Linked DNA regions of Drosophila melanogaster. The protein of the gene in region 2 interacts with the protein of the main gene of each other region in a pairwise test. Each region holds a gene or a part of one and is shown on either strand. Other genes may lie near its edges.

Region 1 (17,223 bases), 330 kb from region 2:
AAATTAAATTTTCCGTTTTCCAAAACGGGTTAGGCACTGCCTTCAAATTAAACGGTTAATTGCCTGCAACATTTAGCTGCAGCTGGCCTTGTTTCGCGAGCGGCGGACGGGGCGTATGCGTCATCTCCACTTTGCACACATCACTTGCCAGCGAGTTTAGACGACAACAATGGCATAGCTCGTGATGGGGAAGTGGGGGTTGGGTTGTTGATGGCTTACAGGAATAACCGCTTTGCTGCTTTATGGCGAAAACATGCTAGTCCCTATTTTCTTGGCCAGCAGAGGAAGTCGATGATGACGTGGCCAGAGGAGGGTCCTTCGGACCGAAGGTCAATATACTCGCGGCACGAGTGTGTGGCAATTGTGACTTCGATGCGAAAATGTTTGCGGATTTCGGTCGCCGCGGTTGTAAAATCAATTCCCATCGGCACCACCCCCACCACCACCAGCACCACCACTATTCATATTTTCCCTGTCAGCTGCATTTCCATTGCACTGAGCGATGGCAAAATCACATTTTCCCAGCTTGACAAGGCCAAAACGTTTGAAATTCCAGATCTCTGGGTAAAACGCAGCCAGAGGCAAAGCGAAATGTAATTACTACAATGAAATATGAGACACTTGACCCAGATACCCACCACCCCTCACCTTCGAGAAAATGTGACTTCCGCACGTTTGGTTAGTTTTCGAGGGTGCCAGGCATTCCCTTTTATAAAGGATACACTGGAGTAATGAAATCCCGGCCAGACGAAACACAACTGCCTCATAAAGGCCAGTAGCAGAATTATTGCATGGCTTGCAATATTCTTGGGCGAGGTCAATGTGTTTTTTGTTTATTCGCCGGCCCACAGCCCCGGGACCACGCCCCCTTCCATTCATCGGCCGTAAAGTTGGCAAGCCAACGAGAATGTGAGTGTTCTACGTGCAACTCAGCCGGATACACTGCGGAAAAATATTGCCATGATGAGCGCAGAAATTTCATAATTTAATTCTTAACGATATATTTAACTATTCAGCTGCATAGTACGATTTTTTCGTAGTTAAGTATGGCAGGATCAAGTAAGATTGCACTGTAAATAATTCACTAGACGTAATTGCAAAATTTTTCTCTATATAGCCGTGCTCCAAATGGAAAGTTACGCACTTGACGGGGGGAAATGGTGGAGTCGCTTCGGGCTATCATAACTTCTGCTCGAAGCCAACTCCCATTTGGCTGTCGCCTGGTCTTGGGCTCAGACATTTCCATTGTCCATAAATCAAATGTTGCTTTGAAGTTGGCGCTCGGTTGCTGTGGTCTCAAATACATGAAACTATATATAGCTTGGGTGGAAACTCAGGGATGAATTGTCAAGTTAGTAATACTGCGTAAAGCATTTGGAAGTCAGTGGAATGAACTAAAGATGTACAATCTTTAAGCTCTTTATACTTAAAAATCATGAAATGTATTTAATTCATTATGTTTTCGTGTTGTAGTAAATAATAACTGAAGTAAGCTTAGCTGGTTTCAAAAATTTGTATTTATTGCGTTTTAAATCCAATAAAATCAAGAAAGCAAAGTATCTCAAATGCCACGCAAAGCTTTAAATCACAGGGTGTGGGCATAAGCAAATGGCAACTAAAATTTCATGAATACTCTATGAGCCAGATCCTTCCGGCTGGAGCATTGAGCTCTGAGCATTTTCGCCCCAGTGAATTGTGAAACTTTTTGGCGCCAATGCGCGAGTGTTTCGGGGCGGACAGAAGTATTCAAAACTTTTTCGCGTTTGGTGGTAAATTGCATTTCCGAATGGCTGCTCCAATTGGACGTGTGTGTACCGAGACAATCACAAAAATTTGAGGCATACGAGGCAGTAAATTGAATTAACCTCCGCCAGGGAGGAGGTGGGGCACATCCTTGGGTGCGTGACTTCCGCTTCCTTGGCTCCAGCGAATAGAACTCAAGTTTCACTGAGTGATGAGCCCACGATGATAATAAAACTGTGGCACCGGGCATGTGGAAATGTAAACAAGTATGCCACATGTGTGACGAGGCACAATAGACTCGTCCTGACTCGAGTTGCGCAACAATGGCCGGCTTTGTGCCTCAAGTTAATTGACTTGGCCCCTTGGCTGCCACGTGGTTGTATGGGGTTAATCGTCCAGGATGCGGCAGATACGTATATGCTCCAGTTGCCGGGCAGATAGGGCACGAGCCTAAGGACCATTGTGTGACTGACATCTTAATTAAAAATGACTCATACGCGCCGTTGGCCGTGTCCCTAAACATTTGCATTTATCCCGCAACGGCGCACACAACAAGTGTCTTGGCCACATGACGCTAAGCGGTGTGTTTATACTCAAATGTTGCCGACTTATGGACTTTCTTTTGATTTTTATTTTTCTAAAATAAATACTACACATCCAATTAAAATTGTTCATATACAAGTAAGTCCCTACAAAATTATAACAATGTTCACCCAATGTCCACACAATCCAAGAACAGTTTCCGTTTAATTATTATGAAAATTTCCGAATTTATTCTGTTTGCGTTTCCATGCAATTAATTACCTGCTAATGTCATAAACATTACCAATCACTTTTGATTTTCGCTTCTTATATATTCAAAGTAGCTGCCAAAAGTTTGAATGTTTATAAGTTGTGCTTTTATTTCTTTTTTCTTTGCCCAAGTCGAAATAATGTGTAACTATAAAATTGTTTTTCTCCCCACATTTATTTACTTTTATCTATCGTTCGGCTTTTTTCAAATTGCCTTTGTTTACCAAAATGTTTATAAACAAATGTACCCAATTTCCGACTACCTCAAGTTGAATTCTTTGTTTTCCTCTCTCGGAAAAACTGGCTAACATCCAACCATCGGAAGGTGAATCAATAGCCAGAAAACGAACTCAAATAGTTTTTACCTCATTTTGGCGCATTTCTTTTTCTAGTTTTTCCCAAAAGAAATATATTTTCACCCATTTTGTTTTGCTAATTTTCCTTTGGCTTTCGTTTCCGCTGCTGGCTCATTGACTATTTGTTAATTTTGTAAATAATTACCGGCAATTAGAAATGATTATTCCGCATTGCTTTTGGCATTTATAGGACCAGCTCATTGTTTGCGCTCATGTCTCACCAAATGTCCTGCGGCAAAACCAATTAACTTGAATGCTTAACACAAGCACGAGCTGCTTGAATTGAGTTTCAAGTACTTTTTCAGACACCTGTGCAGACATTTTCCATGAATTGCTCATAAATCTGATGTTAATTACACAAGGAAGCTCGCCCCGAAAAATTGCGGCTGGGCTTAAGACGTCGTTTCCAGTAGCTGACACTTTGATATTCGAGAGCCTTTAAGACTATGATCCTTTATTGAAAATAAGGGGGAGAAAAACTGGTAATTATTTAAACGTTGTTGTTGGCTACCAACACTTGAGTACTTTTAGCCGAGTTACCTTAACCAAATTACGGTCAGCTTAATTTTAGTCATGACAATTGCCAACTGAATACAGAGCACATCCGAGTACCTGTATCAAAGGACTCTAGTAACTCATTACAAATTGGAGCATAAAATCTAACTCCGGAGGACCGTATGACCAACGGGCAGTTGTAATTTCCAGACACGTTCCCACATGACCTGGCCATTAATTCGGACCAGTTCGCAACATAATTGGCCAGGCACCTTGTAATGGCCAAAACTGATTTCCATATTAATTGCTCATTAGCCCGTGGTGCGGAAGTGCGGCTTGTCTTTTGGCCCGAGTGCATTAACATGCGGCAATAGCTTGACCAAGATTACGCATACGCACTGCGGCTGGTGGTCTGGGACACTGAGAAGTTGCTAACAGCCTTGCGGTCGTGCGGTTGCTGTGGTCGAACAAATATTATTGTTGCCGCAAATTGAAGCTGCCTGCCACGAACAAAAGACAAGTGCTTAAATCCAGCGGGGTATCCACCACCCGGCCATAAATCAATTTGCGGGCAGCCCTTGCCCAGGATAAGTTTGGCAACAGATGCCCGGCCTAATGATGCGTTCTTTAACACAGCGAGAAAGCGAAAATTAAATATTAATATTCAATTAGGAGAACAATTATTGATTTCCAGCCTGGCCTTTCTCGAACCTTTTGACTTTCAACGCAATTTTGATTAAGAAGTGGAAAGTTAAACGGCGCTCTGAGTCCGAAACTCATCAGCAGGCGATTCACGTCAGGACATTTTATCGCAGCCACATGTCGCATGCCGCAGCACAATGGACCAACAGGATGATGTACTAGGATACATATAATGCCACAACTATGTAGCCAGCTGGACGGACGGGCAGTGGAGTCCCATTTTTGAATAATTTAATGAGCTGCCGGGCGTCGGCGGCGTATGCGCAATATTAAATCCTGGCGACCGCCCATTTATCATCGACCCACATCCTCGCACACACAGACTGCGCATCCACAGCCACAGCCACATCCACATGCACATCCTTTCCAGCACGTCAGTTTAATATGTTTTTAATTGTCCGCCACTGGCAGAAGAGTCTACTTGGCTTTAATGACCTCTCCGCCGCGTAAATGTCTCCTTTTTTAATTTTTAATGCCGCCCATTAAGGCGGAATCGTGTACGTATCAGGAAGACTCGGCGAGCAAGTTAATTAATTTTTACAACGCCACGCCAGTTGGCACAAAATTTGACGATAAATCAACTGATAACGTCAGCACATTTAGCGACATCCCCATTCCCAGCCAAAAAGGCAACGTTTTGATAAACTTTTCGCCATGTTTAGGCGGAGTTCGCGATTGACGTGTGCGGCTGACACAAATCGAAAGGCAACAACTTGGCCCGAAGGGTTGGTGGCCAAGTTTTCTGGGTCAGCGTGTGGGAAATCTTTAATCAGAAACTGTTTAATGCAAGGGTTTTTCCCCCACTTATTCCGGGATAAACAAGTTGGGAACAGGGTGTGCGTGGGCACACATCTTGTTTAACTTAAGTGACAATGAAAGGTCAAAGTTTACGCATGCTTAAAAGGAGACTCAATAGTTAAACCAACTCAAAAGGGTTTGTGCCATACATCGTTCTGTGTGTTGATTTTACTTAGGAAAACAAAGGATCGAAAGATGTTTTCTTAAAAAAAAAACATTTTCTTACGCAAAATAATCTTAAATGCTTTCAACCGCTCTTATTCGATTTTACTTCAGCTCGTTTATCATAACTCTATGTTCAATTTTAATATAAACTTCTTAAACTCTTTACTTTAAAGTTGTTTTCAGCATTGTTTTAAAACGTGAGTTATTTCTCGTATTCAATTGCAAATGTCAAGCCAGCAGCATCCCAACAATATGTTAGCCAATTTATTATCCCATCAGCCGCAAAAGCCATTAAAGCAGCGGGTATAAAAGCAAAGACACAGATGCTTTAGATGGGGTAGAATGTTTTCAGTGTATAATCTATAAATTGTAGATAAAGATATTGCAATTCAGACACATGGGATACAATGTAAAAGCATCAAAATAAATCTCCCTGTTACGTTAAAGCCATATTCATTGGATTCGGGGTCGGACTCCTCACGATTTTCTCCTACTTCTTGCTACTGCTGCTCTGCTGGATGACAGCGCAAATTTTATCAAATGCCGATTCCAGACTGTCTATGAACACCTTCCCATCGGCCTGGTTTTTGTACGTGGTGACAATGGCGCCGGCAAAATCGTTCTGAATCGAATAGCTGAAAGAATAATGGGTTATCAACTGTCAGCTAGTGAACAATTTGTCGAGGCAACTTGAAAAATAGGTGCTGCATTTGTACATTCAAATACCCAATCTCGACAGGCAGTCAGCTTACCCGATTCCGAAGCCATTCTTGACCACCGGACCAAAGGAACCCGCTAGCAGGGCATCTGAACCCAGTGTTGAGGTACTAATGATGTTGTTATTAATGCGCTTGTAAGCCTCAGTCTCATAGAGATCGGGAATTGGTATTCCCTCCTTTTGGGCCGTGTGCCGAAGGGCAAAGAGATGCCGATCGAAGCCCTGGCCCATAGCCGCCTCCTTGGTTAACTGGCCATGCACCTTGCTGCAATTGTCGATCATTGCTCGTAGTTCTCCGGCGCTGGGCTTGCTCCTCTCCGGCTGGAGGATAGCTTCACAGAAGTCCCGTGTGGCATTTGTGCACGGTCGCATCGTTTCGGTACGTCCGTGTCGGAAGGCGGATGTGCTGCAGGATTCGTAGCTGCCCACATAGCCGCTGTAGGCTTGGCGATAAGCCAGCTGGAAGGACAGCTGAATGATGGAGTCCGGACTTAGGCCATACTGCTTGCATGTGGGCTTGTTGATGTGTGGGTACTTCAGCACATTCATGTCCAGATTATCTACAATGCTGGCGTTTTTATTATAAGCCTCCGAAACGGCCGACTTGGTGGCATCGTCGATTTCGAAGTTGATGGGCCGCACGTTGCTAAAATCGCCTTCGGCGGGAGTGTGCACTGTCTCCGTGGATACAAACGGCTGCTTCAAAGTATCCTTGTAGAGCTCGTTAAAGTAGCGAAGCACAGCCACTCCATCGCCCCACGAGTGCTCGAAGTTAATAGCCGTTGTTCCATCTGCACTTATAAGCAGGGAAATGGATTTGTCGAACCAACTGTAACAGAACAGGATGATTTTGTGAATCAGGCAGGCTTTACATAATGTCGACTTCTTACCGATTCTGCGCTTTTCCCGCCAGCAAATGCTTGAGCAGCGGCTCCTGCTGGTTTTCGTTAAAGACTCCATCTTCTTCGCCATCCAGACAAACGCAGAACAGAGCCGCATCCACCTCTCTCTCCAGAAGATCGGCATTTTTGGTGTTGCTAACAAAATGCTGTCTTGTCTTGGCCCACTCATCACGCTGTCCGGAGGTCAGAACACCAAGTGGCACGCTGGCTGCCTCGCGATCTGCATCAAGCTTAAGCACAGCCCTTAGTCTGCCCAGAATCACACTGGGACTCTCGATGTATCCACTGGAGTCCAGCACATTTACGGCGTACATGTGACCGCGGCGCATAACCAGAATGTGCTTGGCGTCCGGTGACTGGACCAGCTCGTCCTTGCCGATCCTAGGAATCCTAGAGGTGCCAAACAACCGGTTGTACTGGCTCATGTCCAGCGGAAAGGCCTTGAAGGCATAAGACGCGTAGGTGGCAAAGGCTTTGGGAGCCACCTTCATCCACCTGCGGTAGCTGGAAGTGTCGCTCTTCTTGGCGTTCATGTGGTACACCTCCGGCTCCAGGAGATCCGCCTGCAGAGATCGCCAGAACCGTAACGAGCTGATGATCAGGTTGGTAGCCCTAACCACCTGTTGCTGGTACTCCGGTCGCGCGTCGCTTTTCATCACCAGCAGCGGATTATAGTTGAGTGGCAGGGGCGCTCGATCGGCTAGATACATGTCGAACCAGGGCTGCGAGATGTAGCTGGTATGCTTGTTCTCTGCATCATGGCTCTTGAGTTTCGCGTGTAGTTCCATGCCGATCCCCTGGCGAAACTGTTCCACCGTTTGCTGGGTCTGCGCCTGCTCCGCCGGCGAGAGTAGTGGCTTGGTGGCCTCCAGGAAACGCCGACAGCTGTTCTCCAACAGAGGAATGGGCAATCGCGGCAAGGAGCGCTGAAAGTACAGCGTTGGCAGCTTGGAACATTGCAGGTATTGGTAGTGCTGGCCATGAGTGGTCGTTGTCCTCGACGAGTTCGTCGATATCCACGACAGATTGCGGTGCACCCGGGTCCGAAACATGGCTATCCACTCGATGGCTTTCCAAATTGAGTAACTTTTGTTGTTTAAACTCGAGAGGCGACGTTTCAAAGTCCACAACAGAAAGTCCAACAACAAGATGAAAATTCGCGAGCCAGATCAGCTGTTCGCCATTGATGATCACAGCTGATCGCCGTCATCGATAGTTACCTTACGGTATTTTTGGTATTTTTCAGTACCTGTAATGGCGCCAAAATATTTGAATATCGTATATGTTTGAAATTTACGATAAATAGATCTTTGCGGATTTTATTATTATTATGTATAACTGTACTATATTATATGGGTTAAAATTCATGTTTAATATCTTTTGTAAATTTTTTATATTTATAGCACTATAAATTGAATTTGCAATAATCAGATTCCAATCGCATGCCGGGCACGAAATTTTGAATTGTCATGATTTTATTGAATTACCATAACGACGATAATGAGAAATGAAATTACCACTCAAAATCAGCGCTGCTCTTCGCGGTCAAACATTTCGCTTTCACGGCTCGAGTTTCACATTTGGCTGACCTTATGGCTAACATTTAACATTTGAGGTCCGTGCTCGCAAAGGAAAGGGCTTGCGGATCTCCCTGAACTCCGCATAATTTCGCACTTTGCCCCGAAGGACTACGTTTCCGTATCCCTTTTCCGCATTTAATGCGCTTCGCTTTTGCACTTTCGCTGGCTTGTTAAATATTAACGCAATTTCACTTCGCCCAATTACACTGCAACCCATCCGCATCCTCATCCGCTTTCGCCGATGCCTCTTATGCAAATTTAAATGGAAAAGGGGATTCCCCTACTCACTTTACTTAATTTGAGGAATTGAGGGGCAGTGGATTTTATTCCGCAAGCGTCGACTGCAAAGTGCACAGATGAATCGATGGGAAGGAACGCTCGTGAAATTCGACAAAGTATAAAAATTTTATGCGCATTTTCATTTCTTTCTTAGCCCCGTAATTTAAGTAAACCATTTGTGTTTTTTCCGACTTACCTGGGAACAGTGACCGGTTGGAATACCCGCAGGAGCCTTTGACCCACCACGTCTGCAAGATGTCCTGACCCCTCCGAAGATCTGTTTCTTCCCCGGGAAACCCTCGTCGTCCAAGCTCCAAGCTCCTCGACCAGCAGACATCAACAGCGGGCAAACAAATAAACGCCACGCAAATGCAAACAAAACGCTGTTTATCCACGGACCAAAATCGCCAGGATGCCATTGCCAAAAAGGTGAAAGGACGCTTAAGCACTTGAGCGCCTCCGAATCGAACAAATCGATGGGTAATTGCTTTGCCATTGCCCCGCGCATTTTAAAGACCAACTGCGACTTTAAATAACTGGTGGGATAAAGGACTTCAATTGGAAAGAAAAATAAATAAATAAAATTAAATGAAATATGTTGCATACTAGCACAGATTGAATTAATGTTTTTGATATAAAATGTAAACACAAAGTTAGATTTAAAGGCGCTCTTTTGTGACATATTTTTTCCACTTTTTTCGCCGTTAATAACAAAATCTATTCAAGGACCCTTGAATGTGTTTAAAAAGCATACAATCTCGACACTCATTAACAACCAACGGTAGTATAAAATTTCAACTGTCGCCGCCAGATGCGAAAACACATAAAAAACCTCTAAAAAATCCTTTTCTTTTCTGTGCGCAGAAATCAACATTTGTTTCCAGAGTCCTTTGCCGGACAATAAAACTGTTGACCATTCTAGCACGCACAGCGTGACTGGGGATCCAGATTCGAATCCTTCCTTCCTTCCTGTCTTTCTGCACCTGAAAGGTGTGGCGAATAAGTCGCTTTCGACGGGTTGACAACTGCGTAAAAATCAGGCAAAAGCACGAGGTGACCAGATGGAAGAGTTAACTGGCAAATTCCATTTGCCCCATGATGACAATGGCAAATGGGCTTGGGTTTGGGTTTGGTCGACCTTCGGACAAACGGAGATTTGCATAGATGGCTCAGCAAAAATGCCGCATTCCAGTCGAGCAAATCATTGACATGGCCATGAAGAACGGAGATAGCTCTCAAATGGCCGCGTTGACAGCCCCAAAGAAATGGAGGCAATAACTCAGGCCTCACTGTAGGAGGTTGCACTGTAGAATGGGAATGCGATGGTCGAGGTGTTGGAGTTTATGCTACCTTTAAAATATTTAAATAGGCATAAGGATAGCCTAACCATTATTTAGTGCAATTTATATAACATGTGTTCTTTTATTTTTATTGCAATACATTCCAATAAGCACATACTAAAAGTTAATTGTGCTTACTAATTAGGATTTATTTATTATTCTGCCACACACTAGCAATGCCTTATTTTAATTTCAATTTATTGAATACTTTTCAGAGTAGTGCACATTGCAGGCGGATTAAAAAGCTAAATCAAATGTAGCCAAAATATAAGCAAAAACGACGAAGCTGGGAAACAAGGACGGCATGCTGTGGAAAGTCTGGGAAATTTGCTCTTGTTTTTCCCGAGTTGTTTCCCCGCAGGCAGGCGCGGTGGGGGGAATTCAAATTTAATTCACCAACCTGTACGTGCATGACAAATAAAGCAAGCAGATTAAGTCAAAACCCACACGCCGAAAACCGACGAAATACACAGGATTCCACCCACTTTTTGAGACCTTGAAGACATCGTAGGCTGATGAATATGTAAAAGCTTTTTGCTGCCACAGTTTGCGGCTCTTGTGTGCTATTGTGCACAAACATGTTAATTTTCATAATTGCCTGGCATGCCCCAAGAAAATAATGCAGATAATTGCTGCAATTTTAGGGACACTGAACCCGAGCCATTAATTTATGATCAGCCACGAGCCACGATGGCCAGCAGCATAATTAATATGCCACAGGAACAATCGCTGGGGAATCCTTTTCCCAGGCAGCAATGTCAAGGTTCAATGTCACCAGCAATCAATAGCTGCTGGCCACAAAGTTTATTGATATTCTTGGGTGTGGCATGCATATATACGGGGGCATTGTGGAATGCTGGGAAAATGTTTGGAAACGTGGGCATCTATAAATCTTGGTTGCCTTAATAAAGTGTGATAGTGAATATTATTAATCAGCTTGTATGAAATTGTCGAGTAGTTTTACTGCCATTTAAACAGACCTTAAAGACCCTTAGCAAAGCAATGCCAACACAATCCCAAATCGTTTAAGGAGCTACGAAAATAAAGTAATGAAGGCGAAACGCCTTCTTCAAAATCAAGGCCCAAAACACACAAAAAAAAAAATAAAAATAATGGGTATACCAATTACTAAATATGTGTAATAGCACGCATGTATGTAAATCCACGCGAAATTCCTTAACTTTTGCAAAAAGCCAAGTCTGGGATTCCGCCCACTAAACAACCGCCATTGTGATGATTTTCCTAGAAGGCCAGACAAATTGCTAGCTTCGTTTTTTTTTTCCTCTATTTTATATGCTTTTTTTGGCTTTGGCGTGGAGCAAAGCGAAATCATTTTTCACAAGAGTGAAACAACGGCTACAAGAACACATTAAATTGCTATAAAGGCAACGCCAGGTCTCAGGACTCGCCCAAAGGAAGCGCCGCCGACATGTGAACTCCTGCCTATCGTTCTCATTTTGTGCACTTGGAAAATATATGCTTTAAAAATATCCAGAAAATCGAAGGACCTTCGGCGCCAAGGATAGCCATAACAGGTCTAAAATAACATGCATCAGGATGGTTCTACATTATAGGGCTACTTGTTTTTTAAAGTGTAAGTTTCAGTCACCGATTCCCTGACCCCTGATCCCAAATTCCTGCTGATTCCTGCTCCTGGCCCTTAGGCTCCAGTCCCGCCATGACGACATGTAACTGATGTTGTTTGTTGTAAATTTAATTTTCCCTGGCTGAGTGAGCCTTGTGCTCCTCGTTAGGCCACGTCCAGAGTCCAGAGGACTTGGCCTTCATCCTGTTCTCAGCAATTGCGAGCAGATTGAATTGTTTGATTTCCCCTCGCGCAGGACGAGCAGCAGTTAGTTCGCGTGCCGGCGCACGTTTTGGCCAATTTTATGGTCGGCAATTAACAGGTCCCTAGAAGTAGGCAACACTTTTCACATGTCGTGCTGACGACCATTAATCAGGCGGAATGGGGGTTTATGGGGATTGGGAATAGCCAGGGAGCAGCAATCGTAATGGAATCGAAATGAGCGGAAATGCGCACAAATAAATCAAGTTCACATAAATTATGAAAACAGGCGCCGGACCTTCCGCTAAAAATAGCAGAAAACGGTCCACTATTTGCGTCACCGAGCAAAAAGGAAAATATTTCCACAGGCCTGCGTCATGCTGTTGTTATTTATTCGCGGTTCTTCGTTGATCACTCAAAATATTTTGAATTATTTTTGCAATATTTTCCCCCATATCCGCTCTTAATTTCGTGAAAAATGCGGACATGACGTCAGCCTTGTCCCTCTGCGAGGATTTCGTGATATCAGAGGACATGTGGGGGTAGGAATCCGTTTGTAAACGAATCCCAATGGCCGGGCACTGCAATTGCGAACATTTTTGAAGCGATTTTCATTTGCCAGAGCCGAAAATGTTCAATTGAGTGGAAGCCAAAGGCAGACGGACGGATTTACGGGAGTTCAAACAAAGTTTGATTCTTTTTGAAGGGCCATTTTCGAAAATTGTTATTGCGGCTGGTTTTTGAATGGCCCAACCATTTGTTCAAATGCGAGTTCTAATGGAATTTATATGGCTGCAAAAAGAGCATTTAGCAATCAAATGGAATTAAGTTGAATACGCAATAGAACGAAATTGCTAAAACATACGACACATTCTTCATTTGTAATTTTTAATAATGTTTATATTCCCTTGACAACCTTTAATTATTCAATAGTTTCACAATGAAAAGCTGTCATATTTTGTTTACACATATTTCAATATTTCAGTACTGTTGTCCATTAAATTACCTTACTTCCTGTGCCGAAATGGAAATATATGCAAATCAGATCTAGGCACGAACTGTGGTAAATTGGTATTTATATAAAAAAAACACTAGTGTATTCTGTGTCCATTCGATTGCAGCTTAATTTCCGCGTGGGTGGAAAATCGAAAAGAAAGACCCTGCAAATTGAAATGCAATCAAACAAAACAGTACAAAAAGGGAAGACAACCGAGTGGCTATGGCACTGAATTATGTATGCCAAGGATGGCAGGACTCTGGATCCTGTCGCAGTTGCATTTTTGCGAGGGCACGTGATTGCACTTGGCCGGTCCCATGCATTTATTTGCATATTTACCGCCGGCACAGACGCTGCTGCATTTACTCTGCATTTACTCTGCATTTACTTACTGCATTTGCATTGACTCCGAGATTGCAGGCTAGCAGCATCCACTTACACACGTCGGAATGCCGGATCTTTTGGCCGCGCACAGAATGCAAATTGCTTCGCCTCGGCAGTTGTCAACTCAACTCGCTCAGGACTATGTATGTATATAGACACAGGTTTACCCTTAAGACAGCAATCAATCCGGTTAAACGGAATGCTGGGCAATAAGTTCAACAGTGTTTAGTGCAGTCAAGCGTGTGCAGAACAGTGATTTGAATTCCAGACAGTATTGTGTTCTACAGGTGTAAAAAAAATTAGCATCCAACAAGGCCTTGTTTGCTTTATTTAATAAATTTGCTTTGCTTAAGCTTATTTTTCGTTTTAAAAACAATTTCAGAATTAAAGCTTAAAAGTGACGATCTGCTAAAATTGTGACTGATGCATGGCACAGAATAGCAACCGCTACTTAAAGGCAACTTTTTGGCCATTGCAGCCTTCATTTTGAGGCAACATGAAAATGCTTTTTGGCATCAAAGTGGCAGCGAAGGTCACTTTTTGCTAGCATTCTAGTGTTATTCAACTAAAACATTCTATATTAAAAGCTTGGCATATTTTAGGTTGTAAAATTTTTTTAATACGTTTTTGGACATTCCAGCGTTAGATTGTAAATCATAAACTGCTTATAAAAAAGGGACGATTCAATTTGTAAACAGCGAACATACGATTATCCCCTAAAAGCTTTCGTATTCAAACTTCTTTAAATTATATTCTCAAAATTCAGAACGCCCTTCTCTGCGTAAACACAAGTTATAGAAGGGGGCGTGGCATATCGCATAAAGTGGCAAGTGTTTTTGTGTGCGTCTGCCATGGAGATGGCAAAAGTATTTGCATTACCTTCTTGTTGCCACCGAGTTAAGAACAACAATTGACTGTTGCTGCCGCTGTCCTTATCCTTATTGTAGTTGCCATTTTGCTCTTCATTTGCACTGCAAATGCGCGAGGAGGAAAAGCGGAAAAGTCGGCGGAGGCGGGAAAACGGGAGTTGCAGAGGGCGGCAGCCAAAGAAGGAATGGCGAAGGAGATGGATCCTGCAGCTTAGCGTTAATTCCCATGGAACTCAAACGAATGTGCGGAGTGGCACGCAGACACAGACACAGTTACGCACACACATACACACACACACACTTGCTTAAGGATGCCCATATACACGCATAACCAAGGAGCATCAAGTGCCATTTCGCATGACTAACTTGAGCGAAATTAAAAAAGAAATTGCAAGAAAACTCGCGAACCACACCAGCGACTGAATAAAATGAAATGCTGCCCGCGGAGGAGTCAGAAAAAAAAAGAATGGAAAATCGTGAAAACTGCAAAGGAAAAAGAAAAGCGCCAAAGTGGCGCCTGCAGCTTAAAGTGCAGCAAATTAAATTTCTCCCCGGAAAAGTTGAAGCCACACTTTCCACAGCCGCCCATGGAAAGTGCCTACAGCCGCAAAACTGTCTGCTCAATTGAAGCGAACACGTAGAATGAAAAAATGCTTAATAAAAAAATTAACTTTTTTATGTACAAATCCTAAAAATCAAAAAATCTATTGTTGACATTAAAACAGAAGTTTCTAGTTAATAAGCACATAATAATAAAACCAAGTTTATATTTTAGCAAAAAGTACAACAATATATTGTAGTTAATTAGAATTCCAATACTTCTGATGTAGTTAATAAAGTCTCAAAACGCAGTTGGTCATTGCAATCTTTATTTGGTTTCCTTTAAGCGAGCGTACATTCCAGATCTATTCCTGATTTATATCTGATCTTAGTGTGGTCTACAGGCAGATCTCTTGTGACAGCCAAGTGCTGACACTAGCAAATTCTGCAATATGTATGTATGAAGTTCATACTCGATAACCAATGGGAGTCGAGTGCGACCCCTAAAGGCGTACATGCTGAATTCGCATATTTAGTATTAGGGTGTATCTAAAGATCTACTAGGGTGACCCTAAGGAATTAGGGTGGTCCTAAGTTTACTTATTAGTCGACTTATTATTATGATTCATATTATAATTATTATTAATATTATTATTATTATTGTTATTATTATTGTTATTATGTTCGTATATACTACATCTCCCTCCTTTTGAAAAATAACGTAATAACATGAAGTTATTTTCAAGTATATAATAATTTTTTTTTTTTTTTTTTTAAATGTACATTAATATTTGAAATGAATGATTAAAGAGATATTAAAAAAATATATATATTTTCATTATATTTTGCAAAGTAAAAGTTTTGTATTATAATGTTTTTATTGGTTTTTATTTTATTTGTGGTTTTTTATTTGTGGTTTTTTATTTGTGGTTGGCCAACCAAACAAAATGTATTATGAATTAAAAATTTTTAACCTATCTTTATGGACTATCTGTTTTTTATTTTTATTTCCTATAATTGTAATGTTGTCATTATCTCCTATTTCTGAAACTAAATATGGTCCTAAATAATTATTGTCAAGTTTATGACCCGTTTCGTTTTTAAGTAATATCTTATCTCCTATCTTTAATTCAAAGTTACTAATATTTCTATCATATTTTATCTTTCTATCGGCTTTTGCCTTGTCTAACATATTTTTAGCTCTTCTATATGCTATTTCTAATCGTAGCTTAACTTCTTTTGAATAGTCATCCATGTTGTAAATAGGATCTATTCTGTCTATCCTGTTAAAATCTATGAACTGTCTTGGTAATCTTCCAAATACTAATTCATATGGACAATATTCATGAACTACCGATGGTGTTGTGTTGAAACAATAAGTAAAATATTGTATCCATATATCCCAATCGGTTTTGTCAACAGATATATATGAGCGAACATACTCGTTGAAAGTTCTGTGACTTCGTTCTATTGTTCCTAATGTCTGGTGATGGTGTGCTGTTGAAGTAATGTTTTTTATCTTCATATATTTGCATAGGTCGTCTATAATTTGGTTTTTATATTCCGTTCCCATGTCCGTTATGATTGTTTTCATTGGACCGTACTTTAGAATAAAATTTTCGAATATAGCCTTAGCAACTGATTTTGCACTTTTATTTGGAATTGGTACCGTTACCAAATATTTTGTTAAATCGCAAATGATAGTAACAGCATACTCATTTCCGTTTTCTGATCTTGGCAGTGGACCAATGGTATCTATCAAAACTTTATCAAATGCTGTTGCTGGCGTTTCTGTTATTGTCAACGGTGTTTTAGTATGTTTTGTAGTCTTGGCTTGTTGACATTTTAAACATGTTTTAACATATTTACTTATTGCCTTTGTCATTTGTGGCCAATAATAATAGTTTTTTATTTTCCTCAGGGTTCTAGAAATTCCTGAATGGCCTCCTTCTGATGGATCATCATGATATTTAGACAGTATTGCTTTTATTTGAACCTTATCATTTTTATCTATCTTAGTCACCTTGTTTAATAGCGCTATTTTTAAATTTTTTAGTATTTTATTGCCCTTTTCTTTAAAATTCTTTATAGTGACAAATTCGAAGATTTGTTCACTTGGTGACAATTGTGTTTGAATGATGCTATTTATTCTTGCTTCTTCATTAAGCCTTTGAAAGAATTGATCTAAATCGATTATTTCATTAGAATAAAAATTAGTCATATCAAAACGTGTTATAATTTGTTTTCCTCTTTTCAACAAACACTTATGCTTGTCTATTTTGAGTATAACATATTTTTTGGCATCAATGTTATTGATTACCTGATAGATATTGGGCATTTTTATATTTTCTTTCTCATTTGGTTCATGCAATTTTTCACCTGCGCAGGTATTTTTCTGTCTTGTTGTTGATCTTGTTGTTACCTTTAGTATCTGTCTATTTATTGCTTTAAGTTCTCCGATTGTTATTCGGGACAATGCGTCTGCGACATGATTATCTTTCCCCTTGAGATATTCTACTGTGAATTCAAACTCCTCCAAGTCTAGTCTCATTCTGGTTAATTTTGAACTGGGGTTTCTCATTGAAAAAAGATATGATAGTGGCCTATGGTCACTTTGTACTAAGAAATGTCTACCATATACGTATGGTCTGAAGTGATTTATTGCCCAGTGAATAGCTGCTAGCTCCTGCTCTGTAGTGGACTTATTACTTTCGCCTTTTGTAAAGCTTCTTGAAGCGTATGCCACTGGTAGCTGTTGACCGTTATGGTCTTGAGAT
Region 2 (16,640 bases):
TTTTGATTACCTATTGCTGGTCACACTGGGAATTCATATTATTGTTTTGCATTTACTTTGCCGGTCTTTTAATGGAATAATAGCAATAAAACAATATCAATTAAGTATAAAACATGAATAAGGCATCCCGAATTTTCTGTCCAGCCCTGATCACACCCAAAAATGCGGTGGTCAAGCAAACGGAGCAACTGTCCCGCAGCCAAAAGGTAGAGAACACTTCCATGGTGTTACGAAAGAAGTAGTCATTGAAATCATACAAACATTCCAGCTGCTGACAGAACTTGGCTTGGTAAAATCGGGCAGCAATGGCACCTACCAGATAATGCCCATGGCCCAGCGATCGGTAGACAAGTGCATTGACTTGGTCCAAAGCAACATGCAACAGGCTGGTGGGCAGAAGATCACCCTGCCCATCCTGACGCCCACAGGACTTTGGAAGAAGACGGGGCGACTGGACGGCGATATATCCGAGTTCTACATGGTGCGGGATCGCAGCGGCAAGCAGTTCCTCATGAGTCCAGTGAGAGAGTGAGCAGTTTTCTTCATTTCCGATTCCAATAAACACTTATTTCATTGATTAGACCCACGAGGAGGCAGTGACTGCCATGCTGGCCACCACCTCACCTATTTCCTATCGGCAGCTGCCCTTGAGACTCTTCCAAATCGGTCCCAAGTTCAGGGATGAGCTTAAGACTCGATTTGGTTTGATGCGAGCCAAGGAATTCCTAATGAAGGACATGTATTCCTTTGATGTCAGCGAAGAAACAGCCATGGAAACTTACACACTAGTTAATGCTGCATACGATAGGTTGTTCAAACAGCTGGAGGTTCCTTTCGTTAAGGGTAAATATAATTTCCGTACCGAAAAAAACTGCATTACTAACATAGATTTCATTTACAGTGAATGCCGCCACTGGCATAATGGGTGGCAGTGTATCCCACGAATACCATTATGTATCGCCCGTGGGCGAGGACAACCTACTGCAGTGCAGTTCCTGCGGCTTTGCTGGCAACTCTGAGGTTGTAAAGGCCCCAGCTAGCTGTCCGAGCTGTAACAGCTCGGATTTGAAAGAAGTTCGAGGAGTTGAGGTGGCCCACACCTTCCTGTTGGGGGACAAGTACTCCAAACCCTTGGGCGCCACTTTTCTCAACACCACTGGCAAGCCGCAATCGCTGGTCATGGGCTGTTATGGTATTGGCATCACTAGGGTTATTGCTGCCGCTCTGGAAGTCCTCTCCTCCGACCACGAACTCCGTTGGCCAAAGCTCCTAGCACCCTACGATGTGTGTTTAATAGGACCCAAGCAAGGAAGCAAGGAACAGCCGGAAGCGGAAGTGATAGAGAATGAACTTCTTCTGAATGTAGGAGAGATTTGCGGCCACCAGGAGTTGTTGCATGATGATCGCAAGGAGCTGACTATCGGCAAACGTTTGCTGGAAGCCAAGCGTCTCGGACATCCGCTTACGATTGTAGTGGGAGCCAAGTCAGCCCGTCTGGATTCCCCCAAGCTGGAAGTGCACACCAGCAAAGGAGAAACATATGAGCTCGATTTCAGTGAAACCCTGAAACTGGTGGCAGAACATAGCCAGCACAAAAAGAGTCTAGAACGAGGATGTTTTCAGAGTGAAACTGAAGAAAGTAAAAGTCGATCGGTTGGCCATCAGCTTTAGCTTTATGCAATAAAGGTAACAATAACACACAACTTTTTACAACCGCGCATCCAGACTGATTAAACGCAAATCAACGCCCGAGCAGCGTGCACTACTATAATGACTAGTGATCCGCGTAGTCGGGTTCCGGAATCTGCGGGTAGATCTGTACTTGAAGTTGTGGCTTGCGTGGCGGCGGTGGTGGCTTAGTCACCATGCTGGTGTACGACCAAGGCATCTGGTTGCGCAGCTCTTCGCTAACGCGGGGATTTACGGGAGCAGGATATATCTCGCTGTAGCGATTGTTTAGTGGCGACGTCACCGCCAGTTGTTGGACAGCCGGCGAAGGAGCACGTGGAGTTTGTGGCTCCGAAGGTGGATAGTTGAGGTGGTCGGGATGAGCCTCGGTGGTGCGATAGGTGTTGATGTCAGGCTGCGGGGACACAACATCTCTCTGCTGAGGAACTTGTGGTGGTAGCACCATCACCGGCGATTGCAAAGTGGTGCGATCTCCGGGTGCGAACTGCTGGGAGTTTGGACGCTGGGCACCCTGCTCCGAGGGAATGAAAATGGGCAGCGGCTTGGGTCGGATCTGCTCCGGATATTGAGGGCTCTCTTGCGGGGCCGAAGGCTGAATGGATTCCACTAGCGTGGCCTCCACCACCGGCTGGACTAATGCCACCGCAGGCTGTGGTGTCGGCTGTCGGGTGGGAGCCTGGCTCCTGCTCAAGGCGGCTGATTTCGCATTCTGCTCCGCCATGATTCCGGACAACGAGAGACAGAAGGTAACTCCAATGATGTTCAGCAGCCAGATGATGGCTACGCGACTTGTGAGGCACAGTAGAAGAATCGATGGCGTCGAGAAGTATACGCCGAAGGGCTCCATTAGAGTCCAGACATTACTAACAATTTCGCTATATGAGACTCCAATGTAATCAAGTGCATCTTTCATGGACTAAAATGTAAGAATTATAATTTATGAAGACTGGAACATAGTTTACCATACCGTTGTATGACTTATGTCGATTCCATGATACACCGTGGCCACCACATCTAGGATACTGCCAGCTAGCACGGATAGGAACCAGGGCCAATAGACCACTCCGGAGATCAGCTTGGTGGTGCGATTGCACAAAGTGGCTGGAGTGGATCTTGAGTTATTATAAAAACTAAATGGCTTTTTGCATAACTCACTTATTACCAACACCGAAGTGGCTACCCAGACTCCGCTAATAACTGCGTAGGTTATCATGAAGATGAACTCCCGGTTGGTAATGGCATAGGACGTCTGCCAATCTATGTTCAAACTAAATTGTTCGTCTGCCACCTTCAGCACCGGCTCACCACATTCCTCCTCTGTAGCGCAATTGAATAATATGTTGCAATAGCGTTCTGTGAAACCTTTGAAACAAACCCATACTCACGTGCAAAGTAAATGAGCTCCATGGCGTACTTGAAGGGATTTTCGCTGAAATCAGTAACGCCATCCGGACAATCTCGGAAGGTGATGCCCCAGATGGACAAGCCCAAGTAGGCAACTCCCTGGACCTAAAATATATATCAATGATGTTACTGACTAGCGCAATTGGAATGTTGAGCAATCTTTATGGCACTCACGAGTATGACAATTGCCATGAAGAGTATAAAGCACTTGGAAAATCCAGTGCCCATGCCGGCCATCTTGATGGAGTGCTATTCCTTCGGCGCGGGATTTTTGCTATTCCGGGTAATGGGTTGTGCAACCTGTGATCGCTGGGCCAGCCAATTGCCTACTCGATAAGACAACGCACGCTTTGGGGCTATAAATTCAATTTGAAATTACAATTCGTCAATGCGAGGTCTATCTAATCAGCTTGATTAGTTTTTTGGTGGATTTTGCATATGGAATCAGGATAGCTCAATCATTCCTAGCTCTTTCCTTGCCACACTTGAGGACAACAGACTTATCATTAGATTGGATGAATCACAAAGGGAAATTACGCTGTCGTCACTACAATAAAGTATACGCAATGTTGGCCACAAACAACGGAAACACACTCACGCCAAATCACAAATCGTTATCTCACCGTTGGAATTGAATTCGCGGCTTTCTCGGAGGTGGAATATGGTAGGCAAAACGCGTTCGCCGGCTGCCTCCTTTGGACTGAGCTCTTCCATCGAATGGCCATCGACTCTGGGTCTCCAAATGCTTCGCTCTTCCAAAGCGATAAGATAAACCTAATGAATTTAAGGGTTACACCTGTTATCAAAAGCACCAGAACGGATAGGTGACTACCCCAGATTGTGACCCGCAGTTGCACAATAGCTGCGCTGAGTGCAAATATCTTTCTTATTTTGTAATACAAATTGAGTGCGTTATCAACGAGCTTTTAGGTTTATCATTTGTAAATATAGGCGAACCAGCCCCTAGTCGGGTAAACAAATAAAGGTGTCCCACCAGTTAGCAGGAACTAAATTTTAACTCACAGCTGATGGCGAGTTTATCGGAACGACAAGTGACTGACATATCAAGTTGGACGCGCACGCTGCGTATACTTGATATTTGACACTCAGTTATGTGACTCGTGTGCTTTGGCTATCGTCTTTATAAGTTGTAAGTGATTGATTGGGCATCGGGGGTTTTCTTTATCAGAACTGATTCATAATACACCCAAAGAAGCACCTCAAAAACTACATGCAGCGGTAATTGTTTTGATAAACCTTGTTTACTCTTTGTACATGCTGCCACTGGGAAATTAAAGTTTACTCAATAAAACATATTCACACCTTGCAATTCAATTGAATTATACCATTTGTATAATATAATAATATGGTTTCTATCACAATAATGGGCTTCTGGAAATTGGTAGTAGATTATTTAAATAGAAATAGGTAAAAATAGTTTTTTGTATGATTTGGCTGTTTAAGAGTTTAATCTCTATAAACATTCTCAAAAGCTGCCTAATAAAAGTCAACAATAAATTTGCAAACATAAGATAAAGAACGGAAATAACATTTTTCTATAACACAAATTCACACCCTTCAATTGTGCATTACTTATTTATTTACAACCTCCGTCGTATAAATGCTTGAGAAATATTATCTATTGTAAGATAATTAGGGTCGTTGATTTGAAAAGTATTTGGCCATATCAGCAATAAACAAAACCTCATGCCGCTTTCTCCACAATTTTTTTTAATCAAAGTGCAAACAATTGATTCGCAATTCGTTGACTAATGACATTGGTCATCGGGCTGAAGCTGATTAACACTTTGGGCCATATATAAACACATCGATTGGATAGTTCGCGGGCTCCAACAATTTGGCAATGTTTTATTAACCCAATTGCAGTCCACATTTGCAACACGCTTTGAGAGAACATACAGTATTATTTGCTTGGAAGCGAAATATTTGCATACGTCGTGAGTTTTTTCCCACCGGAGATTCTGGGAAGGTTTCGGATATATCGTTCATGCCTGGATGAACCGCTAGCTTCATTAGGGCCTGTGCTTATCCGAGCAATTAGAGCCTCAATTTTGGCAGAGATCCCCGGGTAGACCTGGCCACCCAGTTCATCACTTCCCGCAGCGTGTGAATTGGAAATGCAAATAAAGAGACTTCGGATCTGATCAGATCACATGACTTTAATTGAACTTGGCGTGTCATAAATATTCGAGTGGCGGGATGAGTTGGAGATGAGGTTTACAGCTAGAGAGTTCAGAGGTCGACCGGCTTAAACGCGAGCCGAGAGAATGACGGGATCGGCCTCCACCTCGGCCACCTTCTCCTTCAACTTCTCCTCGTCCTTCTTCAGCTTCTGAATGGGCTCCTCCGTGGTGGTGGTGGTGGTGGTGGTGGGGGTGGAGCTGCTCACAATGGTCAGGATAGTGGTGGAGCTCTTGTCAGCCTCCTCCTTCTCGACAGCCTTTGTGGTCGTCTCCACCTTGGTGGTGGCTTCCTCGGTGTTTGTCACAGATCCAGCCAGGGCCACCGCCTCCTCTACACTCTCAATTGGCGCCGTGGACGTAATCGATGTTTTGGTGATGCTAATCTTGGTCTGCTTGCCATCGCTGCTGTCGTTATTCGAGTCCTCCTTGATGGTGGCCGAGATCAGCTTGGTGTGGTGCACCTGGAAGGTGGGAATCAGTGGCAGGGCACCACCATTGTGTGGCTGCACGGACACATGATCGATAATCAAGTGGGCGGGTACACCATCCTCCCCATCGGGCACCTTCCTGGTGGTCTGCAGCAGAATCTTGCGTGCCAGGCCATCGTCAGCTGTGGCCGGCGTGGACTCATCGGATCGCTTGGTCAGCGCGTGCTCCTCGTCCTCAGTGATCGCAGCCGGGGATTCGGGCTTCACCTCTTCCACCTCGCTGCCCGGCGCACTGGCCTGGTGCAGACTCAAGGCGGACGTGAACAGACTGTCCTCCAGATCTCCGATCAGGCCGTGGAAAGAGATCTGCTTCAGCTCGGCATCGGGATTGGCCTGCACCTGCCGCTTGACCACATCCTGTTTCTCCAGCGGCTGAAAGCCCGAGAAGATATCACCCAAATCGAAGGGTGCGGCCAACGAAGAAGCCGCCAGGGTCGCCAGCAACTAAAACATAAGTAGAAAAGTGAACAATTAGATAAGTTCAGCAACAACATGACTGAGCTTTAATATTATAATTCTCAATTCTCAACTAGGTGGACATTCCGTAGTTTCTTTGGTGTAACCACAGTGATTAAGTTCATATCTTAAAGTCCTTGAAAGATCTTCACTCACGGTGGTTAGCAACGTGCACTTCATGGCCACTGCTACTGCTGCTTTGGTCCGGTTGGTTGTGTTCAGCTCCAAGCTCAGATCGGAAATAAGTTTACAGCCCAGTGGACGGTGAGTTTTTAAAGTTTTTCGGCGCCCGCCTAACCGCCGACTGAAAGTTGCGACTAAGCTTTATTATAACGTTCAGTTAGCACATTAATCGCTTGGTTTGCCGAACTTGTTTTGGTGCCTGCGCGTGCTACTCCCTCAATGTTTGGGCCCAAACCAATTCTACTTGTCATTCGTCCGTGTTCTGTTTGTTGTCCAGCTTCACTTATTCGACACTGTAAAAAAATCTCTGGAACACTGGACCATTCCTCAGATCTAAAATATAGGAATGCAATGAGTGTAGTTTTCAAGTGAGATAAATCATACTCAGCGCATAATCCTTCTATCTAGTTAACACATCTTCATCAAAATATAACTCCTCTTTCAAATTAATGATAATATTTTGAGCCTTCATCACTCAAATTTGTATCAATTAGTTTAAATATATTCCAAGGACTTACATGATGTGACCCAGGAGTTTTAAAAACACATCTTAGAGCGGCGCTGTTAAGTCCAAGTTTGATTGTCTTAATTGCGCAAATTAACATATATTTACTAAAATTAAATTTCCAAGAAGCCGATCAAAATAAAAACAAGATCAGTCTGAAGACGTTGAAAGGCCAAAACAAGCGCACAGAAAGAGAGACCGCAAATTATTTTCGGAATATGTATGTATCTTCGAGATACTTTTACATCCCTGGGATGAGTGCACTTTGTTCCAATTACAACTGCGCCTCTTTAACACTTCATAATTAGAGCGGTCGCCATGAGATCACCGGGGCACAAAGTTGATATGCGAAATGTGCAAATTAATTTCAAAAATTTTCCGCTGAAACAAAGGTCCATGCAGAGGTGAAAACTTGTTAAAGAAACGCGCCTGGAAATCGATTTGCCTCCATATCGTAAAACCGCAAACCGTTCACTGTGCCTCCGATTTGCGGGAGAAAGACTGGCGACCAAAAAAAACGCAGAATCCGGCCAATCATGAATGAAAGTCAAGATCTGGCTGGTTATGCCGGAGTATGGGCGGCTTTAGGCGGTTAACTCTAGTGTGGGTTAACTCGATAACTCGGCGAATTATAAAAATCACAAATTTTTAATTTAATTATGAATCTATGAGGCATTCGGCGGGGGATGTGCGCAATATCTCCACATCTGCTCTCTAGTTCTCGGCCTGAGTCAACGAAATATTGGTACTTTCAAATTCTAAAGTTCTCATGCCTAAATTGTACAAAGTACCTTGATTAAAACCGCAGTAAACTTATTATACTATGAAATAACGAATCAAAGAATTATAGCCATTTCACATTTCATACAAGAATAATATTTTACTACCACACAAGGCGTATGCGTGATTTGGAGAAAGATTCAAATTGAAAGAAGCTTGGCATGTGATGAATAAAACTCTCACATTGCATATCAAATGCAAACGATCTTGATATTCTGCGATCGAGGCACAAGTGTACGTCATACGGGGCGTATGCTTAATGTGAAATAATCTTAGTAGACGGGCGCGTGTCCAGACCACATGCAATGATCCCGACAAATGCGTCACCGGAGGTGCAATGTTTATGGGCTTATTTTTGGCCAGAGCCGAGGAGTAAACAACGGCGCGAGAATTGCGTAGACAGCCCTTGCCAATGATCAATATTGGTGGGGATCCGACTGGGGGACAGTCCCTGGGACACGCTCCCAAAACGAGCACAATTAATTAGAGTCTGGGCCGCTCGAAAACAATCGTCAGTCCAGCCGAAACGGAAGCCAGGTCCGAATCCGCGCCTAGAAACCGGCGACGCAGACCCCGGAGAGTGGCAAACCCGTCGGGCAATTAACAGATGCCGATAATTACGCGGAATCGCGCCTCGCCAGCGGACGCGGCCGAAGCTCCAGCGGCACAGTCGCTATAAAAGCGCTCCGATCTGCACTAATTAACTTTAAACGCGCGAAAGTCAGGCGAGCCACCGGAGCCACTATCCCAGCAGAGCTACAGCAGCAGGCCGTATTCCCTTAGCCCCAAAAAGCCTAAACCTTAAGATGCAGGTCCACCAGGCTGTGTTTGGAGCCGCCGTGCTCGGCATGCTGTTGGCCATCGGCTGTTCCCTGCCCGTTTTGGATGCCAGTTCAGGCATCGACAACGCCACCATCGAGGAGCTGAGGGCCAGCGTCAACGATACGCCCAAGAATCTGTAAGTCTAGAAAGGATAGTTATATCCAATAGTTGGAACTCTTATAGCCAGAATATCTAATAAAAGTAGTAACAAATAAGTGATATATTATAAACTTGAAAAGATTGTTAGAAAAATTCAATATTAGTAGTTAGTATAGTCATAATATTTCCACGCATATTACTTTGTATTCTTACCTTAAAATAAATTGTGCTAATTGAAACAATACATATATGTAGAAAATGACGTAGAAATCACCAGAATTAACTAATTAATATATTTTTGGTCACGTAGAAAGTCTTCTAATCGTTTCTTCTTTTCCTTCCAGCTATGTGGTCAAGGCGGTGGTCTATGAGATCGGCATCCTGACGGAGGTGGGCGAGAATGACACCAGTTTTGAGAGCCAGGAACGCGTGGATCTGACCTTCTACGACACGCACAGCAACAAGAGTCACATTGACCTGGGCAACATCCCGCTGCCCATCCAGACCAATGTCACCGGTCAAGTGCTGACCGGCATCGCACCCGTGAATCTGGGAGCCTTCAGCAGCCCCCAGGAACTCCTAGAAACCCTTCCCCTGACCGGAAGCATTGTGAACATCACGCACAGCGACACCGCCTTCTATCAACTGAGCAGATCGAACACCAGTGCCGCGGACAAGCCACAGATTCTGGATCAGGATGCGCTGGCCAAGCTCACGCACGCGGCCCAGTTGTTCCCGCCATCGTCGCAAATTGGCCAGTCGGTGCCAGTGAACCCAGCTGCCGATAACGAGGTGCCCCAGACGGAACCCGAGGATTAGGCTTACTCCGCGGAATCTCATCGTGATGCAGTGCGTTGCTCTCCAAGCAATCTATAAATACGTATACTCTAGATCTACTTAGTTTTATGGCTTCACACTTAAGTACCTACAGTGCTAGAAAAGACTGGACGAGGACAAGAGATCGGCAACATTGCCGTGGTCACATCACAAGGTTGGAATTTCACTTTTCTATGGCAAAGTAAAAATAAATTTCGCATTAGTGCTAGGTAAATGAGGCGTCTCTCTTCTTTCCAACTGGTGTTATCTGGTCTTCGGATTGTGCGAGGTGGTCATAGTCATGTGAGTGGCGAATGCTAAAAGCATTTCCATCACTTCTCACCTCTGACGTCGGCGGATGGTGGAGTTGAGCAAAGTCGGAGGCCCGGCTGGAGCCCCTTGAGGTGCAATGAAAATCTGCTCTGGTCGTAGCATTTTATATTAACTAAGTTTTTAATTTTCTCATTTTCAGTTTGTTTGTTGTTGTTTGCTTGCTTGGTTGGTTGGTTGGTTGGTTGGTTGTGTGTGTGTGGTTTTGCATTATAACTGTAGTACATGGGGATCTTAGGTGGTAATAGATGATATATATTTTAATATTAATAGATAATGTGTAATATAAATATAAGTTTAAACTTGTACACAAAAATTAAAATGTCGAACGTCTCGTCGTCTCTCAGATCAGTTTAGAAGAGTCCTTCCCCCCCACGCTTCGCTTCATGCAACTTCCTCCTCTCTGCCTCATCATCATCATGACTGTTCGTACAAATAAGCTAGAAGATTCGAGAGAAGAACGAAGCGAGGCACGTCATCTATCTGCGGGGCGGGGACCTTTTCAAAATGTATATACATACTGCAACACACATTTGGATACTCGTAGTTCTCGTATAAATAGTTTAGTTTTTAACTAATTTACATAGTCATCATGCTGACGATGCGCTCTGGCGGCTTCTTCATAATATGCTTTAAATATAGTTAAATATATATGTATGTATGTGGTATATTTTAGTAGTAGCTACAACTTCAACTTATGTGCACACTCCAAAACGTATGTAACTAAAATCCGTAACTAGTATCTCTAGTGAATCTATGCCGTTAGCGTTATGTGTATCGCGTATCCTGTAGCCGCAGCAAGTGACGCTGGCTTGTCCCTCGTTTTATCAGGTCAGGTGGTCAACGGCTTCAACGGCGACGGCTTTTGCCACTCTGCTTTTCCCTCACCATCCGCCCCAATTTCTGATTATTTTCTTGTTCTGCATACCGACATCCGACTTACAGAAGTAAAGGAGCGGGACCGTGAGGCGCCAATGTCGCGTTCGGCTTAAAAACGAAACTAATGTTAAAGCGCTGTCAATGCTGCAAACGTTGCGAGATTAGGTTTTTGGTTGATCCAACATGCTCTTTAATCTGCAAAGACAAAAACAAATTATTAAAATATTATCATAATGTTACTCTAAACATTTTCAATCCATTGATCTGGAAAATCACGTACCTATGACATGACTCTCCATATTTGTGATGCGTGGCTTCGATGCGGGCTGTGGTATGATGGTGATCTCATCGTTGATCTTAAGCGGCTTCAACAGAGAGTCATTGGCCGCTCCCAGCGAACTGCGCGACATCCCTGCCCCAGATCCCGACCCGCTGGACTGCGCACTGTTCTTCTTGCTGTCCATCGCTTTTCTGGCCACGGTACTGTGGGCGGTGTAAACGTGCGTCTCAAACTGTTTGTACATGCCGAAGGTCGCCGTGCAAACGGTACACTTGTAGGACAGGTGAGCGGGCTTCAGGGTCATATGATGATCGCGCGACACGTGATTCAGCAGCTTCCATTGGTACATCTAAAGGGAGAGCGGCGATTTTAGACATTGTTTTCATCGTCCATTTATACGAAAAACTCACCCTTCCACAGACCGGACAGCGACCAGCATCCTTGCCCTTGTTGGCAGCCTCCTGCATGGAACTTGTGACCAAGCCATGTGAGCCCAGCAAGTGTCGCTCCAATCCCTGATCCGTAAAGAACCGGAACTGGCACTTTTGGCAATTCAAAGGCGGCCTATTGTAGATCATCTTGGGGTGAATCTGTTGCAAAACAAAGCATTTGTTAGCAAAGGGGAAAATCGGGGAAAATGGAAACTCAGCTCTACCTTCACTTTGTGCATCCACTGCATGTGGTTGCGCAGCTGCTCCAGATCCTTGATGTAGCCATCGCAGATCTCGCAAATAACAAATTGCGCCTTATTGTTACCGCTGGGACTCTGGCCGGGCTTCATTCCTGCTGCCGCTTGGGGCGCTTTGCTGGACGAGGCACCCGCACCGGCGCCCACCGAGCTCTGACGAGGTAATGGCGTTATCGAGATGCTGGGCTGTCCGGCCATCGGCTTCTTGGATGCCTGTATAAATAGATCGATATTCGATTAAAACCGGTTTTTAATGGGAGAGTCTATTTTGGTACAGCTAAACATGCTACACATATACCCTTTAAAACCCAATTCCAATGTTTAAATAATTTAATGTAGATTATAGAGCGTATAAATGTAGTTTACCTGGACAAGCTGTCCGGCTGCCAGCTGATAGCTGTTGGGTAACGAGAGTCCCGCATTCATCGCGTTGCCTCCGCGCACAGGCGCCGGATTTCGCACTATGTTCTGTTTGGGTGGCTGCGGGGCTCGCTGACGCATCTTGGCCGCATTCTGGGCAGCTAACGCGGCTGCCTGGAGGTTATTCCTCGCCTGCGCCGCCGCTTGCTGCTGCTGGATGTTGGCCAAAGCGGCCTTTTGTGCCGCCGCCTGTGCTGCCATAGCCTGGAAGGGATTAAACCGATTATAAACTTATTGCAAAAGACTTAGGTGTAGATATTCCTACCTGATAGGCGGTGGCAGTGCCCACAAGACCATGACGAGGCTTAATGCGCGGTATCTTAGCCGGTGCCTCCCAGTCGTTTGGCGGCGCCAGGTTAAGCTCCGGCCGGAACTTCTTAGCGCAGACGGGCTGATGTCGGGCCAGCTTTGCCTTGCCATTATCCTCAAAGCCGCAGTTGGGACACTGGTGGTAGGGCAGTGGCTTTATAAGGCGCGCCTTTATGTTGTGCACAGCCTCCATGTGGTAGACAATCTCCGTGGCGTTCCGTATCTCAAACGTGCAGAAGTTACACTTGTACAGCACTCCGTTCATGTGCGGCGTCTCGTAGTGATTAGCCATCGCCATGGCAGACTCCGACTTAAAGTTGCAGAACTCGCATCGCTTCATCCGGAACTTGAAGGGCGCGTTTTTCGTCTTGGATGCCTGCAGGTTGCCAGAGAGCGCATTGATGGCCATTTCAAACTCCTTGGAATTTTGCACCTGCGCCTTGCGCATCTTGCGCTTCTGCAGACGCAGCAGATCCGACTGCACGTACTCCTGCACCAGACCCACGCCAATGTCCATGAAGAACTTGCCCAACGGACTCTCAAAGTAGTTCTCCTGTCCTGGCTTGTTGCCGCCCGGATTGTTTACCGACACTCCGCCCGCTGTTGCCAAGGCAGCGGCGGGCTTGATGGCCACCTTCAAGGCGCTCAGGTCATCGTTTGCCTCCTTGATCAGCACCTTAGTCCGTACGCCCGACTCCGAGTCGTCGTCGTCGTCTTCGTCGTCATCATCGTCAGACTGCTCCGACCAGGACTCGTCGTCACCTCGCTTTTTCTTTTTCTTTTTGCCGCTTTCATCGGCCTGATCCGCTGGCTTGTCCTCTTTGTTTTGCTCGGTCATCATGTCGAACTCGTCGCCCTTGTCTGCCTCGGCCAAATCCTCAGCCGACAGCGCATACTTGGTCTCAATTGCTTTGACGACCTCGCAGATGTTTTCGCGTGGTGGCTTTTCATAGATGTAGGGTACAATGAAGGAGGGCGCTTCCAGGACAAACATGTCGTCAGTGAGACCGGGCAGCAGGTTGGCGTTGTTGGTCATGCTGGGCAGCCCGGTAAGCGATAACGTTGGCGGATTCAGCTGCACTGGACTGGCGCTCATGCCGCCCGCCATGGGAACTAGCTTAGGCGGCACAACACCCAGATTGGTGGCCGCTCCCGTCACAGCATTCGTTATGGTCACCGGGTAGATAGAATCTCGGGGACCCGACACAGAGCTCGGACTGCCATCGAGAGGCATCAACGAGCGGGCATCCTTAATGGTCAGCTGGCCCATTCCCGAGGGCGTCGAACTTCGCTGTCTCTTGTGGCTGGGCTGTTGCAGCTGCAGGTCATCTAGGTCGCTCTTGCGCTTGCCGCTGGGCGAAATACTTAGCGGTGTGTCATCTTCAATCACGACGCAGTCGTCGTCATCATCATCATCCTCATCATCCTGCACGGGCGGGGGCGGGATGGCCTTGACAACTGGCGGGAGCTTCTTTACTGGCGGCGGTGGAGCTGCGGATTCCGTATCCGAATCGGAGGCTATCAGAACAGCATCGTCGGAGGATTCACCACCACTAGAGGAAGCCGGTTTGGCTGCCTTTTCGGTGGGCTTGGCCGGCTCCTTGTGCTCCGTAATATCCTCCATTTCCTCGTCACTATCCTCATCCAGGTTAACCACACCACCATCGGAGGGAGCTATTGCCGCCCTGGCCTCTGCTATGCTGGCTTGGCCGTTCTCCTTCTGGTTGGGACTGGCCCCAAACCCATTCTCCTGCTTTGCTGGGGGCTCTTCCTCGACGACCCCTTCGCTAGCTACGCTCTCCTCGCCATCTAGGTGCGCTTTCTTCCCGCTGGCCAGTTCATCGTCAGGAACTGTGACTGCTCCCAGGGGATCTTCGGCCTCGCAGCTGTTTTCCGCTGTGCTACCGATCTTTTGGGCATCGTCTTCGTCCTCTGGCTCGTGATCTCCATCTCCGTTTGTGGTAGCCTCCTCGTCTTCTTCATCCAGTTTTGGCTCCTTCGAGCTGCTGCTGGTAATCTGTGAGTCTTCGTCGTCGTTCTCCACTTCGTTTTCCTCCACGTCTTCGGTCCCGTCCACCTCCATTATCTCGTCGGCCACTGGAGCTTGTGGAGATGCCTGGGCAACATCCTCTTTACTGATATCCTTGCCGCCCGCGGAAAGCAGCTCGAGCTTTTCATTGGAGGGGGCCTCCGGCAAGTGCACATCTTCCTCCTGCTGCTCCTCGACCACCTGCTCTTCATCGTCCTCCACAGTTGTGACCTGCTGCTCAACATCATCTGCTGATGGTTTACTCTGTTTTGGGGAACTTGATGCGCTGGCAAGCTTTGTCGTGGGCTCGGCCACGCCCTCCGGCAAAACGACATCAACTTCAGTCATTTGAGGTCCGTTCTCTGCTCCGTGGAATGTGCCCAAGTCGGTTTTTCTTCCAGCTGTTTGTGTTTCTGCAAGAGACACAATAAAATTGAAGAATTATCAAAACTGAGTTGGGAATTTAAATTTTTACTTAATTTTACTTAATGGCAGCTTCTTCTTAAGACCAACCGGAAAAATTGGCACGTAAAAGAAAACTAAAGTATCAAAAAGCAACGAATGAGCAGCACAAAGCGCAGCGGGCGAAGAGTAAAAATAAAAAGAGCTAAAACTGCAGAAAGAGGACGGCGAAGGGGCGAGGCGAGGCGAAAAATTAACAATCACCGAAAAATATTTGAAAATCTAGGTGAATTAAGAAGGTGAACTCAAGAAAAGGCGGACCAAAAACAGGGCAGCAGCGGTAGGGCAAGGGGAGCGGGGGAAGTTGAAAGAATGGTTTGATACAAAATGGCTGCCATATTGGATTAAAACTAAAATACAATTTAATATGTAATGTAAGTATGTAAATGGCTTTACACTGCAAGAAAAAAGAGAATGCAGAAACGGGGGGGGGAGTTATGGTTTGGCGATATATGCAATTTATATACTTTGGTATTAACACACTTGCCTATAAATATATATTAAACATATATTTATATATGTTTATGTGAAATGTTTGTATGTACAAACGAACAGTTACCGAGCAGAGCCAACAAAACGATTGACATACATACAGACACAAACGCACACACACCGCCTGCACACACAAATATACAATCTATATATACGGCACATATATATTTGTACGCTTGTAAGCACAGGGGGAGGGACGCAGGGCGGGGGGCGGCACGGATGACGACGTTTGGCTTTAGCTTTATTTTTTGTAGTTGTTTTTGTTGCTCGGCTGGCGGCGTGGTGGAGTATACTACCGCTGTTGTTGCTGGTGTTGTTGTTGTACTTTTTGGTACAGGAGCGTGTTTTTGCGCTAGTGTTTGTCCCTGTGTGCGTGTGTGTGCCGCGCTTGCTTGCGTATGTGTGTGTGTTTTTTCTGCTGCTATGTTGGATCTCACCTTACTTTTCAATATTCTAGGTTTCTTTCAAACTAAAGACGATTTTCAGCGGCATTTAGCATTGTTTTTGTTACTTGGCGGCACTTACATTCACATTTTCCCCTCACAATCGGCAGGTTGTTGTTTTGTTTCGCCTCCCTTTTGGTCCCTTGATCACAATAAACAAAAAACAGAGCTGCCAATAAATGAAAGATCGTTTTCTTTACGAAATAACCAGGGAAAATCCGAAAATTTTGCGTGGGGTTTTTTTAATTGGAGAAAAAAAACTGAGCAGAAAGAACGCCGAAGGCGGAGACACAAGAGACGAGGAACGAACAAGCAGGCAAGGCAAACTGGAAATGTGTGAGGCGGAAAAAGCAAAAACAGAGTTGCAACGAACAGCAGGGCGCGCGCAGGGTTGCACGGCTTATCGGTTATCGATTACCGGCCATCGATAGTGAGCCACCCAAAGGTGCCAATTGCTGATTTCGCAATTAATTTTTAATTTAATTCATATTTTCGCTCATTTTCCTTCTCTAGTAACGGTAATAGCTTTTACATTGCCGGCTATGGAGAGGGCTCTCTTTCACTTGAACGCCTCTCAAAAATAGCGAATAAGCGTGTGAAGCGCATGGCCCGCACACATGGGCCTTTGTGCATGTGTGTGTGTGTGCATGAATGGAATGGCGTGGAATGGGAGGGAAAACAAATTTGACAATTGTACGCGCGCCACGAACGAAATGAACAAAACAAAACTGAAACGGCATTGCTTGTCGCCGGTTTTACTTTGATGGATTTATGCGAATCGGCATGTGCGGAAATTCAAACAGAGCGCGCGAAAAAGTCTAGATGGCTTTAAATATCGCAGATAAATATGGCAAATTGCAAC

Evidence for each region.
Region 1: the proteins of CG1246 (region 2) and CPT2 interact in a two-hybrid assay, tested with the Drosophila melanogaster proteins (one large-scale study listed by BioGRID).

What each region holds. Positions count from the first base shown.
Region 1 is NT_037436.4:2,971,623-2,988,845, reverse strand, and holds CPT2 (carnitine palmitoyltransferase 2), read right to left. Parts: upstream 7,825-17,223; 5' UTR 7,724-7,824; coding exon 6,660-7,723; intron 6,599-6,659; coding exon 5,804-6,598; intron 5,687-5,803; coding exon 5,542-5,686; 3' UTR 5,295-5,541; downstream 1-5,294.
Region 2 is NT_037436.4:2,635,222-2,651,861, reverse strand, and holds CG1246 (uncharacterized protein), read right to left. Parts: upstream 3,815-16,640; 5' UTR 3,717-3,814; exon of another isoform or gene 3,692-3,716; intron 3,641-3,691; exon of another isoform or gene 3,450-3,640; 5' UTR 3,331-3,449; coding exon 3,268-3,330; intron 3,199-3,267; coding exon 3,075-3,198; intron 3,007-3,074; coding exon 2,845-3,006; intron 2,791-2,844; coding exon 2,657-2,790; intron 2,606-2,656; coding exon 1,775-2,605; 3' UTR 1,672-1,774; downstream 1-1,671. Other genes in the region: ProRS-m (Prolyl-tRNA synthetase, mitochondrial), read left to right, coding at 114-206, 269-520, 582-843, 902-1,671; CG1143 (uncharacterized protein), read right to left, coding at 5,363-6,229, 6,398-6,421; CG14949 (uncharacterized protein), read left to right, coding at 8,516-8,667, 8,975-9,449; MEP-1, read right to left, coding at 10,846-10,850, 10,936-11,284, 11,346-11,525, 11,591-11,836, 11,990-12,247, 12,309-14,729.